Linked DNA regions of Struthio camelus. The protein of the gene in region 1 purifies or fractionates together with the protein of each later gene. This does not show direct contact. Links are inferred from orthologs where the notes say so. Each region holds a gene or a part of one and is shown in the gene's direction. Other genes may lie near its edges. The genes, in order: SGK2 and FKBP5.

The links.
Region 2: the proteins of SGK2 (region 1) and FKBP5 purify together in Homo sapiens (affinity purification with mass spectrometry; 3 studies listed by BioGRID and IntAct, with this or other methods). This does not show direct contact. The link is inferred for Struthio camelus from reciprocal best matches to the Homo sapiens genes SGK2 and FKBP5.

What each region holds. Positions count from the first base shown.
Region 1 is NC_090959.1:5,804,511-5,812,949, reverse strand, and holds the start of SGK2 (serine/threonine-protein kinase Sgk2), read left to right. Parts: upstream 1-5,019; 5' UTR 5,020-5,129; intron 5,130-8,320; exon of another isoform or gene 8,321-8,439. UniProt on the Homo sapiens protein: Serine/threonine-protein kinase which is involved in the regulation of a wide variety of ion channels, membrane transporters, cell growth, survival and proliferation.
Region 2 is NC_090965.1:5,058,175-5,065,478, forward strand, and holds the start of FKBP5 (peptidyl-prolyl cis-trans isomerase FKBP5), read left to right. Parts: upstream 1-4,249; 5' UTR 4,250-4,359; intron 4,360-7,304. UniProt on the Homo sapiens protein: Immunophilin protein with PPIase and co-chaperone activities. Component of unligated steroid receptors heterocomplexes through interaction with heat-shock protein 90 (HSP90).

The sequences.
Region 1 (8,439 bases):
GCAGATCGCCCGTTTCAGAGCGTGGTCCGGGCAGTGATAACGCCCGCTAACAAGGACAGCACCGCAGCCCGACGCTTGTGTCTCATTAACTGTCGAATTAAATCGCTTGCAACAGGTCGGAAATCTGCATTTCGTGAACGGCTCGTCCTCCGCCCGGCGAGGGAGGCGGCCGCTGCCCCGGCCCGGCTGCACGGCGCTCGGAGACGCCGTTTGCAAACGCCTCCCGAGCCTTTCCTTCTTGTGAAGGGGAAAACATCCCACAAACAAACACACGCCGCGGGGGAGAAAACGAAACGAAACGACGAGCTCCGAGCACCCCTCGACTGAAGGAAGCTCTCGGCTGAGCCCTGCCTCGCCCCAAACGCTGCGGCCGGCCGCGGCTCGGCGCCGGGGCGGCGGCGGGATGCGACGGGGCGCATCCGTGCCCCAGCGGCTTGATCCACCGCAGGAAAACCCTGGCGGCCTCAAAAGCCACAACGCAACGACTAATCCTCTGTCCGCTCGTTGCTGGGGTGCCGAGGAGCGTCTGCAAGCGCCGGGACCCGCCGGTGCCCTTCCCGTAGCCCCGCACCCCAGGCGTAGCGGTGCGTTAGCAGAAGCGATTTCTCTTTCGATTTCCCCCCAAATTGTGTGCGAGCCCCCGTTAGGGGCAGCCTCAGGGCGGGGGTTGGGGCGGGAGGGGCCCGGTGCGCGGCGGCGGCCCCGCTGGCGGGCGGCTCGGGGGGCGGCGGCTGGCCGGAATCGGCTCCGGCGGGGGGGGGGGGGGGGCGCAGGGGCTGCAGGAAGGAGGTGGGGGGGCGATTTCCCTTCCTCGCATCAAATGAGCCCGCATCCCTCGCACGTCTCCGGCAGGAAGTCAGAGGGAAGCTTTTGGCTTGAGGCAGGTTAATTCTGCGTGCGGGAAAAGCATCCCACGCGTGGCCAGGCCTCAGAAGCGGGTGGGCTGAGGACAACCCCCCCCCACCACCACCACCTTGTACGCGTGAGGCTCCGCGGTGGGTCTCTGCCCCTCGGACAAGCCACCCTCTGCCTCCACCCCTCACGGGGCGGCTCCGTGCCAGGAGCCGCGTTTCTGTTCCCCTTCCGTGGGGAAACGCACCTGTAACTCATCTCCTAATCCTGCCCCGGCGACGAGGAGCAGGGGAGCCGCGATTAACTAACCACCTTGGTGTAAAACGAAGCCGGGAGACAGTATAAAGCGGCCCCCCCCGCCCGGCTGCCCGTCCTTCCCTTTGCACTGCTCCGCTCCCGGAGTCCCCGGCGGCGGCGGCGGCAGCAGCGGCAGCGCGGCGCCCTCGCCCGGCCCCGGCCGGCGAGGCATCACCGGGCTCCCTCCGCGCCGGAGCCTGCGGTAACGGGGCAGGGGGTAGGTGCGGGCTCTGGTGTCACCTTTCCTTTGAGACACCTCCTTCCTTGGTTTCTGTTGCTCTTCTTTGCTGTGACCTGCTTCAGCTCGGTTTTCTCCCTAGGGTGTTGTGAAGGGACCAGCAGGGGAGGAGATCCTCCCTGTCGTTCCCCCCTCTCCCTGCCCCTTGTCAGGCTGAGATAACCCTTTGGGCCCTGGGAGTAAGTGAGGAGCTGAGGACCCCTGGGAAGTTTACCTGCTTCTTTGTGCATCTGTATGCTGTGGTTTTAGGGTCCTCCTCCCTGTGTTCCCCCTTCAGGTTGCAGGAGGCAAATGGATGTGCCCAAGACATCTGCATCTGCTGCAGTGGTAGCACAGCTTGCTCACCTGTCCTTGCAGGTGGCTGCATCCATGTGAATGGAGGATGCTCACAGACTAACTTTTCTGATGTTTTTGTGTTTTTTCAGGGGCTAAAGGCTTTCTGGTTTAGGGCACAAGATGATGGAAAATGTCTTATGGCACTTTAGCTTTGCAGAGGTTTCAAGTCTAATTTAAACCTTTTTTTTTTTCTTGTGAACAAAAATGGCTCCTGCTCTGAGGGTATTTGGGGCTGTAGTAGGGTCTGTGCCTTTACCAGGATGGTGGGGGAAAGCCAGAACAGCTGAGGCCTCCTTGTTCCCTCCCTTGACCTGTGCCATGGGAAAAACCAGGCAAGTATGAGCAGAGACCATTGCTCGATATGAGGTGTGTGCACCCAGGTCCTGCCTACGAGCAGCCTGCCTCATGCACCAGCTCCCACGGGAACAGAGCTACCTGGGCTAGAGAGACAGTTCCCACTCGTAGGTCCTACTTCTGAAACACGCCGCTGTGCAGACCTGTGCGTGCACATACCTCCTGGGAGCAGAGAGGACACTGCCTACTCCTTTTTGAGCTGACGTGCACCAAGCAAAGTGCTCCCGGCCCGGCACCCTTGGCACTGCTCTGCTTGCATGGCTCCTGTCCTCCCTTGACCTGGGATGCTGGCAGGAAGGAGGATCTGCGGAGGTGGGAATCCCCTTTGCAAGGCAGTTAGGCCTCCGCTGTGATGCCTTGGAATAGGCTGTGCTGGATGCAGAGGATGACAGGGCATCTCAGTCTGGCCCGCTGTAGTTTCCAGCTGTGGTGAAGTCAGAGATCACTCTGAAAAACCAAACAGGCTTTGTCGTGCTGTCAGCTCTGCTCAAGCGCCCTCCTGCGCGTTTCTGTCGGGCTGCTGCTGCACGCTCGCGGCTGACGCATGTGCAGCGCCCTGCTTGCGAAACCAACACGCTCAGCGAGCTGAAGCAATAAGCCGAGGCTTTGTCCTCTAAACTTGTCCGAGGCTAAAATGAGTGCGGTTGTTTGTGCAGCCCTTGTGACTCGGGCTTTAAATGCGCACAGGCCAGGCCCAGCCTGCTGGAGCAGACATCCTGGTGCCGTGCTGATGCTAGTGCAAGTTGTGTGAACGCAATTTTGCCACAGATGTGCAGCCTTCAAGCAGGGAATGCAGTGAGGTGATCAAAACAAATCCTGAATAATGGCAAAGAATCAGACAAAGAAACTTTCTGAAAAGCTAGCATGATGGGAAAGCACGATTTCTATTCCAAATGGCTTTTTGTCTGTAGCTTTTGGTCATGTGTTGTACTGAACCTTCTCACTCTGGAAATGAATAAAACAAAGGCTTTCTCTGCACTGGAAGGAAACAGATTGCTTTATCTCTCTGTCTTTACAGTTCTTCAAATACAATAGGGACCTCTATTTGGGTTAGTCCCCCTAGACACCAGTGTAATATAAGATATTCATTATCATCATGCACTTGTACTGCTGTACCACCGAACAGAAACATCGAAGGGAGCTACAGTGAGGGGAAGGCTTAGCCCACTCCCTCTCTGCATGGTGGTTATGGTGCCAGAGCTCAAAAAGGCATAATTATGGCTCTGCATTTTACCCCGGTACGTGGAGTCAGTGACCTTGGCAAGAACAGCAATTGACTGTCTTGGCCTAAAGAACCTCGAATTCCTCAAACTGTATATCTAAGACTGCTCCCAAAAATATTTATTTTGATGGCAGCTGTATGTTTTCTTCTAACTGATGTTGTCCATCTGCTAATTTTTATAATCACATCTCTATGCCCTTTTGTGTATTCAAATCCTGCCTCAGCTCACGCTTCTCCTTTTCTAACGGCCTCCCCTTATACAGAGTGACCCTATTCTTTTTACAGCAACCCTTTTTCTTTCTCCTCTTTGAGCTGGACTCCCCAGGCCCAGCTGGGAGGTATATGTGCCAGTGTGGGGATGGAGAGGTAAATGGGTTGATAAACATGCAAGGAACTGTGATGCAATTCCTTTTTTTTTTTTTTTTTTCAAGGCTGTGTGACCCAAATGTCATGGTCCTGCTCCATGAGAGGGGCGGATGCAAAAGATCTTTTAAGTCAAAAGAAACCTTCCCGCATAATCAGAAAATGCCCTATGCATACGAAGTTTGTATTTCAGGCAAGGAGCTACAGGTTTCCTTAGGGTGGTATTAGCTGGTGGTATAAGGTAGGGCAGAGGGAAAACACATTTAGGGTGAACCACAGTGCTTATGCTTGAAGTAATCGGTCCATAGCAGCTGTGATTAGAAATGCTGTCCTTTAGCCTCTGCTAAGAAAAAAAAAAAGGGGGGGGGGGGAAGCAGCAAGTCCATCAGCATGCTGAACCAGGCAGCTGCATAGGAGTCCACACAGTGCACCGCCGGTCCTTTGCGGTGCTGGGCAGGTTTGGTGACGTACCCCAGCCTCTCCAGGGTGCCTGTTGCTGCCTTAGGCCCTGGGAGAGGATCCTGCGGCATGTCCTGCTCTTGCTGTGAAGTTCCTGTCCCTGCCATCAAGGAGGGAGGTGGGCTGGCAGACTTCCTTCAGGGTCTGTGAAGCCAGCACAGCTCCACGGAGGGGTATTTCTCAGCACAGGGAGTGCAAGTAGGGGGCATGGAGTGGAGCGGGGTGTTCACAGGGGAGATTGGAGGGGACCTGGGAATGCAAGAAGAGAGCTTACAGAGGGGACCCGGCAGGCCCAGAGGGGAATGGAGAGGAACAAGGAGCAAGTGTGTCATGCAGGATGGAGAACATGGAGCCAGAGAAATATTATGCAGGAGACAAAAATGAGGCTATAGGTCTGTTGTACCCGCAAAGCTCAAGCTTGGAAACGTCCCTGGATCTCCTGTCCAGCTAAGCCCCCATGCAAGGGCTAGTGAAGGCTCACACGTGCTGTGCTGCAAGGTGACAAAGATCCATGGTGGATGGACAACCTTGCACAGCTATTCCTTCACCAGCAAGCTCAGGTGGATCAATGATGGATCATGTCCAGATCCAGGACTTCTACCGGATCCCTGCTGCCTGGCGCTGCTGGTGTTTTGGAGGTGACGCATGCCTCATTACCTCTACTAGGACCTGGCATGTGACCCAGCATAGCTTCCAGAAAATGGAGCACTTTGTTCTAACCCTTTGCACTTCCCTTTGAGGTGAGCTGCCCTCCAAGTCCCTGCAAGGAGGTATTTTTTTCTCTCCCACCCCAGTTCCTGTGCCTCAGGCCCCTCTAAGTGATGACAGGGTAATCATTTACTTCCTGCCATAAGCCACTCCTTCAGACTTTCCTTTGACCTTCAGACTAAATCACCAAAATAAAAACAACAGGAGGGAGAGAAGTAAATGCTGCCTTCTGCAGCTGGCGCTGGGCAGCTGCCCACCTTCTCTGGCTCCTGGGAACTCAGAAGTCCTGCTCCTCGGCCGGTAAAGCTGATTTACTTTTTTTTATTGATGATGGTGACTTTCTCTGCTCCTAAGGACTTGAACTAGTTTAGGAGAAGCATAGTTTTTTGTGAAGGTCTCATTCCTTACTAGGGACTAGCTACAGAGAGGAACTGGCTCATGGGAGACCTGGTCCACGGCCACAGTGGGTCTAGCTCAGGGACAGCAGCTGGACATGGGGGGAGGTGTCTTGACTTCCAGAGTTGGGTTTGTTTCCCAGTTATGGAAGATCACATGAATCCCTGCAACTTCAGAGAGAGGAGAGTAACAGCCTCCTTAGACCCCCTGGAAATGCTGTGGAGGGTGGAGAGGTTCCTCGCTTTGAAATAGGGTACCCCAGGGCAGCAATTACCAGGAAACCCCTGAGCAGGGGGCAAAGCAGCTTTTGTCCCCTGCTCATGTCCTTAGTCCTGCTTCAACTTGTATTTCTGGGACCTGAAGAGCAGCCACAAGTGTTTCTGATCTTATCTGATTTCCTGACCTGGCAGATCCGTAGAGGTAGTTAGTGACATATCTTGCCCCAAGCAGCCTGTGCGGGCAGAGGAGGCTTGGGCTGCATTAGGAGTTTGTAGCCAGCACAAGAAGGACTAGTTTGTACCAGAAACTTTTGGCAGTTTTGGCTGTGGTCTCCCAGGCTGCCTCTCTGTGGCTGGGCTGCACCTCGTGAAGATCAAGGTTGCTGTGTCTAGCACCCCTTGTTTGGGTCACCCCTAACTCCCCCTTCTAGCAGAGCAGGCTGTTTCCATGAGACATGAGAGTCTGACACCAGAGTGGAGGGAATAAAGGTTCAGCAGAGCTGAGGACTGGCTACATGCACAAACCTATGTTTTCTGTTGTTTTATTCAGAGGGTATCGGGTGACTGGATGGATTTTAACCCAACAGTTACTGCTTTTGCACAGAGGCTCACAGCCCATGATAGTTCCTTGACCAGCGCTTGACCCAGTTTGGACTGGGCTGCTGCGGGATCCGGTATTTCACTGTTTAACTCTGTTGGAGATAATCTCTTGCCATGCCAGCACCAGTTGCTTCCCCAGGTTTCCATGGCAGATCCCCATTCCTGTGGGGAAGGGAAGGAGCAGGGCAGAGGGCAGGATGGGGGCTTAGCTCAGAGTCTTGGGGGCAGGTGGTCGGGTCGGCGTTCCTGGGGATGCTCCATCCACAAGCTTTCCTGACAAACCCAGTGCCGTGCCAGCAGAGCGGAGGCCTGTTTTTTTGCAAAGTGTAGCTGTAGGAGCTATCTCCTAGCTGTAATGCCCTGCTCAGTCCACCCAGGATGCTGCCAGGAAACTGCCTCTCTGCCCTCGTCCCTGTCATGCTGGTCACACCTGAAGGTTTGAGCTGTGGGCAGGAGCCCTGCATGTGCACCATGTGTCAGATTTACTTACAGGTGAATTTATCTCAAAATGCCCCATGTTTTGTTAAGAAAGCTCCCAAAACTTAGGCTGTAACACAGCAACAAATGCTGTTGTTGCTATTCCAAAATGCTGCTGGGGAGGAGAAAATGGCAAACGGGAGAGTTGCAACATCACCCGCGGACTGGCCTGGGCAGCTGGCGGAGGAGGAGATGTTTAGAGTCTGGCTGCTTCCAACTCTGTTATTTATTCTTTGAGATTGTGCCAACACTTCAAAAAAAAAAAAAAAAAAAAGCACTTGGGAGCAAGTCCTAGCTAACTAATTTAATGGTAGTAATAAGATCAGCTGGTATTTTCCTCTGAAGGTGTTAAAGGCTTTACAAAAGGGATTAGTGATGTTCTACCACGTTCATAGTTGTAGCAACTGAGGCACAGAAAGTAGCAAGTGTTGGTCACGACGGCCCTGTGGAACAGAAACCTGAGCCAGAGCGTTCTCCTCCTGGCTCCTTTCACTAAAACATGGAAAACCTCCCAGCACCTGTGTGAGACTCCTTGGCAAAATCAAGGGGGGATAACTTGGGCAGAGCCCTGCTTGTTGAAGCTGAAAGAGAAGGGGAGAGAAGAAAGGAAAAAAAAAAAATTAAAAACCCCAATTGGTCACCAAAAATCTGTTTAGTCTTTCTTGAATCCTCTAAAGTTGAGGAAATAGGCTGAGACCTTTTAAAGAGCTGTGCTGTGCTGTGCTGTTCTATTCCTTACAAAACACAGATAACTGAGTAGCCAAACATCTCCCAGTAGTGCCTTAAGCATTTGAGGTCAGCTTTCACTGCAAGTTGAAGAAAACTGTGCTCTCTAGGGAAATGTTTGTTTTAGCCTTATCTGGACCTTTCCCTGCAATTCCGAGTGCTCAGGACTGTGTAGTTCCTCTGCAGTGATACATTTATGATTATGGTTATGGATATTGGTATATAAAGAGATTAAGACAGGACAGCATTTTAAAATAGCTGAAAAGCATACAAAAGGTTATAAAACGGAGTAGCAATGAGAGAGAGAGGGAGAGGAGGTGCTTCTCTGTGTGTGGGCTGGGGCCGTTGTCCATCAGAAACGTCTTGCCCTGGAGCAGGCAGAAATGCAGCCTCCATAGGGGAGAGCGGCAGCAGCCGGTCCGGCCAGGAGGGCCGAAGCTCAGCAGCGCGGAGGATCCGCATGCCCCACCGTTCGTTTCTTTCTAGCGTTTGGGAATGTAAAGGCAGCTTTCCCCTCCCGGAGGTGCAAGGGAAAGTGTTTCCAAGCTCTGGCAACGTCCAGAGGCTCTGCGCTACCCCAGCGCAACCGAAAAATCGGCTTTCTGTAGCCGCGGCTTGCTCCCAGACAGTTTGCCTGACTTTGCCACCGTGGTCTGATGAAGCCCAGCCGTGGCAGGCGCCATGTGCACAGCAGGGGTTAAACCATCTAAGAGCGGCTAATCACCTCTGGACCGACCTCCAGCGAGAGCTGGCGCAGATATGCTCCCTGGAAGGCAGGGAAACATCCGCCCCACACAAAGGGCAAAGCAATGCTGGCAAACCCTAACGCCGACATAAGCTGGCCTCCGGCTTTACCCAAATAATTCAATTTTGTTTCGGAAATGAGTTTAAGCTGTGCCAAGATGTACTCTGTGAGCAGGGGTCTCTTTCGAAACCCTGATGCAGTCTCCTGGCCCGTCAGAGTCGGGGCCTAGTGTCAGCAACCCTAAAGCGACTTCCACCTCGGCCTGCTGCCATGCTGCAGTAGAGCTCAGCTGGTCAATATTTAATTGCAGGCGTTGTTTAATCATTAAAAAGCCTAGTTCCTCCTCTGGTTCCCAGCCTGTATCAAAGGGGAAGAAGATACAGTCTTGGTGTCTCCCACCCTGGGTTCCCATTGCTCCAGGCAAGCCACAAACTGTACTGTTCCTCAG
Region 2 (7,304 bases), on another chromosome or scaffold:
GCTGGCGCTCGTTTTCTTTCCTTTTTTTTTGTTTTTTATTTTTTTTTTCGTTGTTTATTTTGGAAATGCAACCCGAGCCCTAGCCCGACCCAGGCTCGTGTGGATGGGCGAGATCCCCCCGCTGCACATCCCCCGCCAGCAGCGCCGGCGGGAGCACCCGCCGAGCCCGGCCGGTCCCCGCGGCCCCGGAGGAGGTTGGTACAGTTTGTTACGTCCAGGCCGGAATGTACTTTGTGTTAAAAGTGGCCCGAGTCCAGCTCTCCAAAGCTGGACTTTATTTATACTCCGCGCTCCGGCCGCGCTGCATCCTGCTGTCACTTTCTCGGGTTTTTATCTCCGAGGGGGCGAGCTGCTGGCCGCTCCCGGCGCCCGCCGTGGGGCAGAGCCCTGCCCGGCCTGCCCTTCATCTCCCGTTCTTCTCCTTTCTTTCTGTCTTTTGGTTTTTTTTTTTTTTTTAATTTTTTTCTCAGCGGCGAGATAATCCAGGAAAATGTTTGCGTCCTTCCAGCCGGTGGAAGCGTCCCCGGCGGCAGCTGCCTGGAAGGAAGCGGAGGCCGGGCGCCGTCGGGCGATTTCGGGCCTGGGCGATGCTGCGGGTCCGGCAAAGCCTCCGCTTAAGGGTGCCGGGGGTTGGGGGGGGGGTGAGGCCGGGTGCCCTCCGGCTGCCAGATTTTGGCGAGGCTTTGGGAAGAGCCTGGCATCGGGGTCGCGACGGCGAAACCCGGGGGGGGGGATGTGAAAGGCTTTGGCGACCCCTCGTGCCGCCGCCGAAGCCCCGACGGGCCGGGGCCGCCCGGCCCCCGCGACCCCGCTAGCCCGGAGCGCCGGGCCGGCCGCCAAGCAAACAAAAGGAAAAGAAAAAAGAAAAAAAAAACCCCAAACAACCGATTTCCTTTGATCTCCCACGTGCTCGAGAGATTCACTGTGATGCGGCTTTCAGATTTGAAGCCAAACGGGAGGGACTTCTTTTCCCTCCTCTCTCTCTCGAGTGTTCAAGGCAGATTAACTCGGGTTATTTTTAGAAAAAGGACGAATTAAAAATATCCCCGATTCTGTATTTGCGCCCTCCGCTCTCGAGGTGCAGCCGGGGGGGGGCGCCCATCGCCGGGGGGGCGGGCGCCCATCGCCGTCGGGGAGGATCCCGCCGGGCTCGGCCGGCGTTTTGCGGGGTTTTGCGGGTTTTTTTTTTTTTTGCGGGTTTTTGCGGGGTTTCAGCGCGGGGCCCCCGCGCTTTTCGGGCAGGACGGAGGGGTCAGGGCGCCGGGCAGGACATGTGCGGCCAGCTGGATGGCCGGGGGGAACAGCCCGTCCCCCTGGCAGCGACAGCAAAGCCTTGGGAGATTATTTATGGTTTTTCTGGCTCCGGAGGAGCAGATTTCCTCCGAGCTTGTGTTACAGGCCCCGGGGGCCGGCGGCCGCCTGCGGGGCACATTCGGGACCCCCGAGCTGGCAGGGAGCCGGGGGGGGAGGATAAAGCATTTTGCAAACTTTCTCGGCCCCGGTTTCACCCTGGACGTGCCGGTGCGCAGCCCTGATTGTTTTGCAGAACATTTTTTTCCCCTGCGGCTCCTGGAGCACCCCGGGCTCGGGCTAGCATCCCCCGAGCGCTTATTGCCGCGGCATCCAAACGCCGCATGAATGAAAGGCTCCAGGGATAAAATACCCCTGGGATAAAATGCTCCGGGGATAAAATGCTCCAGGGATAAAATGCTCCTGGGATAAAATACCCCTGGGATAAAATGCTCCGGGGATAAAATGCTCCTGGGATAAAATGCTCCTGCACACCTGCAGCGATGCAAAGCACAGCCCCCCTCCCCGCCCGCCCCATCCCGTTTCTCCCTCGCGGGCACGTTTGCCCAGGGAGCGCTAGCGGCTGCAGCCCGCTCCGAGCCGGTTCGGCTCCCGTCCGGCCCCGGCCCCGGCCCCGGCCCCGCTCCGCGCCGCCCAAGACAAACGAGCGCCGCGAGGCTCCTGTTTTGCTCGAAATTCAAGCGAAATTCAAGCGAAATCCAAGCGCCGGAGCTGCGGGCTGAGGACAGCGCGATCTTACATAACGCCTGGGCGGCGATACCCAGGCACAATAGGGTGAAGCGAGGACAGAGCGGCTGCTTTCACCGTGAATTTCCTGCCTTTTGGAAGTTTGCGTCAGGCTCGCCGCTTTAATGTGTGTGTGTGTATATGTGTGTATTTTTTTATAATTGAATTTCCTTTTTAATGCGGCTGTGAAATTAGGAAGGGGGGTGGGGGACTGAGTTTGGAGCAGCGCCTCTGCCCCGGCTGCGAGGCGGGCGGCAGTAGCACGAGGACTCGAAAGGTCTCTTAAAAACACACAAAAATAACACTTGCCAAGTATTTTGCTTCCCCCCGCCCTTAAACAAACAAATCGACCGTTTTTGTGGTGCAGCGGCAACCAGCGTGGACCCCCCCCCCGACGGCCGCCGTCGGCCTGGGTGCGCTTTTCCCAGGCTTTGCCGTTACCCCCCCCCCCCCGGCACCAAAAGAAGCTGCCAGTTTGGGGAGGGCGCGTTTGGAAAGCCACAACGTTTATTTGGCAAGTGGAAATGTAAAGCCCTCCGAGGCCGGGCCGGAAATATTTCAAAGCAGCTCTCCAAATCGTGCGGCTGGGTCGCTGCCTCGTGTTCCTGAAAGGGCGAGATTCCCCCCCCCCAACCCCCCCCGGCGTTTCGGCTTTGTTGTAACGCATGACGCTGTCAGGAAGATAAATCTTCAACTTTTTTATTTTTTTTTTTTAAAGCGGGCTTTAATTTGAACTCCCTATTTCCAGTGAGTGCCGTCGGTGTCGAAATGACAGCTGGGGGGGGGGGAAACCAAAAATCGAATTCAGCATCAAAAAACAGGCGCGCAAGAAAGCATCGATAAAACGAGCCGTCCATTAAGCCCGTCCCCGGGCGGGTGTATTGGAGGAACGCGTGGGAAACGGGGAGCAGGACGGGAACGGGGCACACGAGCTCGAACGCCCGTCTAGGAAAACGCCCAGCGTGGCGTTTTCGCTCGGCGCGGTGGGCCAGCCCGGCGGCCTCCCAGCTCGGCCGCGGCGATGAGCTGAGGTCCGCAAGCAGCGGTAGGATACTTGTTTAAAATGCATTTTTATTTTGCCTAATCTCACATGTCGACGCCGCTCCTAACAAAAATCTTACCTGCTTTAAGCCGAGCGGTAACGTTTTTTTGCCTGTTCCAACAGTCGGCGTGTCCCCCAACAGAGTGCCTTTCCATCACTAGCTTTCAGACTTTAGCGCAAGTTTATTTTCCTGGTGGGCTGTGACCCATAATAACCCCCGGAGCGCTGCACGGCGCTGGGGTCCCCCGGGACATTGCACAGGGCTGCTTCATCCTCGGGCCGTTGCACGGGGCCTGGGACCCCGGGGGGCGCTTCAAGGGCCCGCAGCAGCCCCGGGGACACTGCAAGGGGCCACGGTGTCCCCGGGGTGCAGTGTGGGGCCGGGGTACCCCTGAAGGATTGCATGGGGTTGGTTGGTCCTGGGGACACTGGGTGGGGCCAAGATCTCCCGGGGGCCATTGCACGGGGCTGGAATTGCCCTGGAGCGCTGCACAGAGCTGACCCCCACCCTGGGGTGCTGCATGGGGTCGGGGTAACCCTAGAGTACTGATTGGCACCCCGGTGCCCCTGGGGGACATTGCACAAAGCCCTCGCCCCCCCTGGGCATTGCACGGAGCTGGATCCCCTGGAGCATTGGACGGACCCCCCCTGGGGCATTGCAAGGGACTGGACCCCCCCCCCCCGGGGGCATTGCATGGAGCTGGATCCCCCGGGGCATTGCAAGGGGCTGGATCCCCTGGGGCATTGCATGGACCCCCTCCCCCCCCGGCGCATTGCACGGAGCTGGATCCCCTGGAGCATTGGACGGACCCCCCCCGGGGCATTGCAAGGGACTGGACCCCCCCCCAGGGGCATTGCATGGAGCTGGATCCTCCTGGGCATTGCACAGACCCCCCTCCCGGGGCATTGCAAGGGGCTGAATCCCCCGGGGCATTGCACGGACCCCCCCCCCCCGGGCATTGCCCGCCCGGCGCTGGGGTCGCTCTGGCTTTGCCGCCGCTGCCCCAGCAAGTGCGCGGGGCGGGGCGGGGCGGGAGGGGGAGGACCGAGGCGTGGAGGGGGGGGGTGGGGAAAACCTCCTCATTTGCATAGCGCCGCCACCGAGCCAATGAGAAGGCGCTGCGGGCAACATCGGCCGAGACGGGCAGGCGGGGCGGCCAATGGAAGGCGGGAGAAGGGGCGGGGCGCAGCGGCCGGGGAGACTCGGGCCGGCGCGGGCGCGCGCGGTGCCACTCGGAGCCGGGCGACGCAACGGAGCGTGAGCGGCACCGGCGGGGCAGGTAGGGCCGGGCCGGGGGGGGGCGGGGGCTGTGTGGGCCCTACAGGGGGCTGGCGGTGCCCTGTGTGGGGCAGGGGGGGCATATGGGGCCGGGGGGGGGGCTTTGGGGGCCGGGGGTGCCCTGTACAGGTCTGTGTGAAGCTGGAGGGCCCTATATAGGGCTTGTGGGGGGCCCTATATGGGGCTGGTTGGTGGGCTGGATGGAGCTGGGGGGCACTGTATGGGTCTGTGTAGGGCTAGGAGGGGGGGCTCGTATGGGTCTGGGGGGATCCTCTATGGGTCTGTGTGGGGCTGGAGGGGGGCCCTCTATGGGTCTGTGTGGGGCTAGGAGGGGGGCCCTCTATGGGTCTGTGTGGGGCTAGGAGGGGGGGCTCGTATGGGTCTGTGTGGGGCTAGCAGAGGGAGCTTGTATGGGTCTAGGGGGGCCCTCTCTGGGTCTGTGTGGGTCTGGGGGGGGGTCTGCATGTGCCTGCAGCTCTGTGGGCCTGGGAGGTCCTGAATGGGGCTCTATGGGGCAGTGGGGGTAAGGGGGGTACATAGGAGGTTGGGGGGGGTCTGCAGGGGGTTAGGGAGGGTGCCAAGATCTGCACAGGGGGGCTCTCCGTGGGGCTGGGGGGGGTCTGACTGATCCCTTCCCTGAGGAGGGGGTTGGTGCCTCCGGCTGTTGCAGTGGTGGTGGTGGTGGGGGGACAGGGTGGGGGCCTCGGCCCCACAGCCCCCTCCCGGTGCCGGGACGGTACAGAAGTGGAGGAGGGCGACGGGACGGGACGGGGGACCGTGGGGCCTCGGCCAAGGCGAGGGGCAGGGTCGGCCCCGAGCCGCAGCCGCGGTTTGGGGCACCCGAGCCCAGGCGCGTCCCCCACTTGGCGTTGGGGGGCCCTTGGGGTGCCGGCCCCCAAGCCGCGCGCGCCCTGCTTTAGTTCGCCCTGCCCGAAGGGGCAGCGCCGGGGTGCTCGCGTCGGTGTTTCCTGGCTTTAGTGTGCTGTGTTTGTGATACCAGAGCCCCCCAAGGCCGCAGAAGCTGATGTCCTTGCCGTACTTTACTGCAAGCGCTTAGCCAAAAAGTTTAACTTTCTTCTTTGCTCTCTGCGAGAAATTTCACTTGTTTCCAGAATCGTGTGATGTCTTTATGCGAGTAGTGACCGCGAGTCATCTACTCTCGCTGCAGGCAGCCCGGTGTCTTTTGCCACCGGCTAGTTCTCTAAAACGTACCAAAACCTCTGCATCAAATAGGAGTCCATGTCCTTTAGTTTGTGACAATGGGGAACTACCCAAGGGAGGTTATTTTTTTCCCCCGGTTATAAAGGCACAGAGTTGTCATAAAATGGGGTTCCTCTGCCTCGTTACTAATGTTTTCTCTAATAACATCTGCCAAAAATATTGTATAGAATGTGAACATAAATATATAGTTTCACTTGGAGTAATTATAGCAGATGGCCCAAGGTTAATGTACTTATTTTTCTTTTTTTTCCCCCCTATACTCCTACTCTTTTCCCCTCCTCTTAGTAGACAGAATAGCTCTTTTGAAGCTACTATTTTCTAGTGTGCAAACGCATATTCAGATAAGCGTATTGTTGTCAAAAAAGAATATTTTACGTGATGAGCTAGAAGAGCTTTTGAAGGATAAATTCATCAGTCGTGCATTGCGGCTCTGCTTGGAGAGTTCCAGTTGAGGCTCTGGTGCTGCAGTCAAGTTTCTGTCTTCGCTGTGAAACTGTGCATGTTAAACAAACAGGGCTTTGCCACGGTCAGTTAATACTGCAGATGAGGCTGGTGAGCTGCTATTTTGTGGAATTTCCTTCCATCAGACAAGTGTATTGAATCTAAATATACGTCTAACCCCCCCCACCCCCGCCTCGAATCAGGATTTGATACTTTAGTATTTTAAAGGTAATGTTTGTTTAAACGATGGCTTTCCGTAATGAGTCGTTAAGCTGGATTCAGGACGTCACTGGGGACCAAATCTGTGCTAGAAACTGGGATTACAAGTAAAAAGTTGAAAGCACAAATTGTTCTTTCCTGCGAAATGTATTGGAGCCACATTGCTGCTTCTTCCTCATCCTGCCCCGTGAATGTACTTATGGGGAAGAAAGTTAATTAAATCTCCTAGAACTTTTATCCAGCTTTTATTGGCAATTTTCAGAGGTGGAATAGCTTTTGACCTAATTAAGGTATTTCTAATCAGAATATTAACCAAGGATTTGCTTTCAGTTTTGCCTGAAATTGCTGAACGTTGTCGTTTTGTGACCTGAAGTGCATAGATTTTATATTTGCAACTTAGTTTTATCCCGTTGGTACAACACAACTTGAGAGGATGTAAACGCCAGCGAGGCAGAAGAAACGCTTGCTGCAGTTTGTAAAGGGTTAACTAGGAGTAATGGGGTTGAGTGAAAATAACATTTCTGCGCTGCAGAAGAGTTTTACAGAGCAAAGATACTTTGCAGGGCTGAGGACTAGCATTGCAGCGTTATATAGGACATGATGAACGAGGACAGCAACATCTGAGAAGTTGGAGGCTGAAAGCAGAAGAAGGACGAAATGTTACAATAAAACTGCGTGTTTAGAGTAGTCGCAGGTAATCCTGTACTACGCAGCGTGCTTGCAAAAGAGTGGAGCCTTTCTGCAATGAGAGGAAAAGTGTTGCCGGTATGGAGGAAACTGGGGAGCAATCTGCCCTCCTTTCTGTTCCCAAATCCGGTTATTTTGGGGAAAGAGCTTAAACACCCCATATCATAATTATCTGTAAAATGAGGATCAAGATCCCATTCTCTGGGGTTCTCGTGACAGTAAATCGAACCACAAATTTTGCTTGGCTGGGCAAATTTGTAAATTCCCATTTACAAAAGGGGCAACTCCCATTTTTGGCTCTTCCCTCTTTGCAGTGCTGTAAAATACCTAATATCTTGTGCCTTGAGGCACTGTTGCTGCCGTGAGGAGGACGCGTGC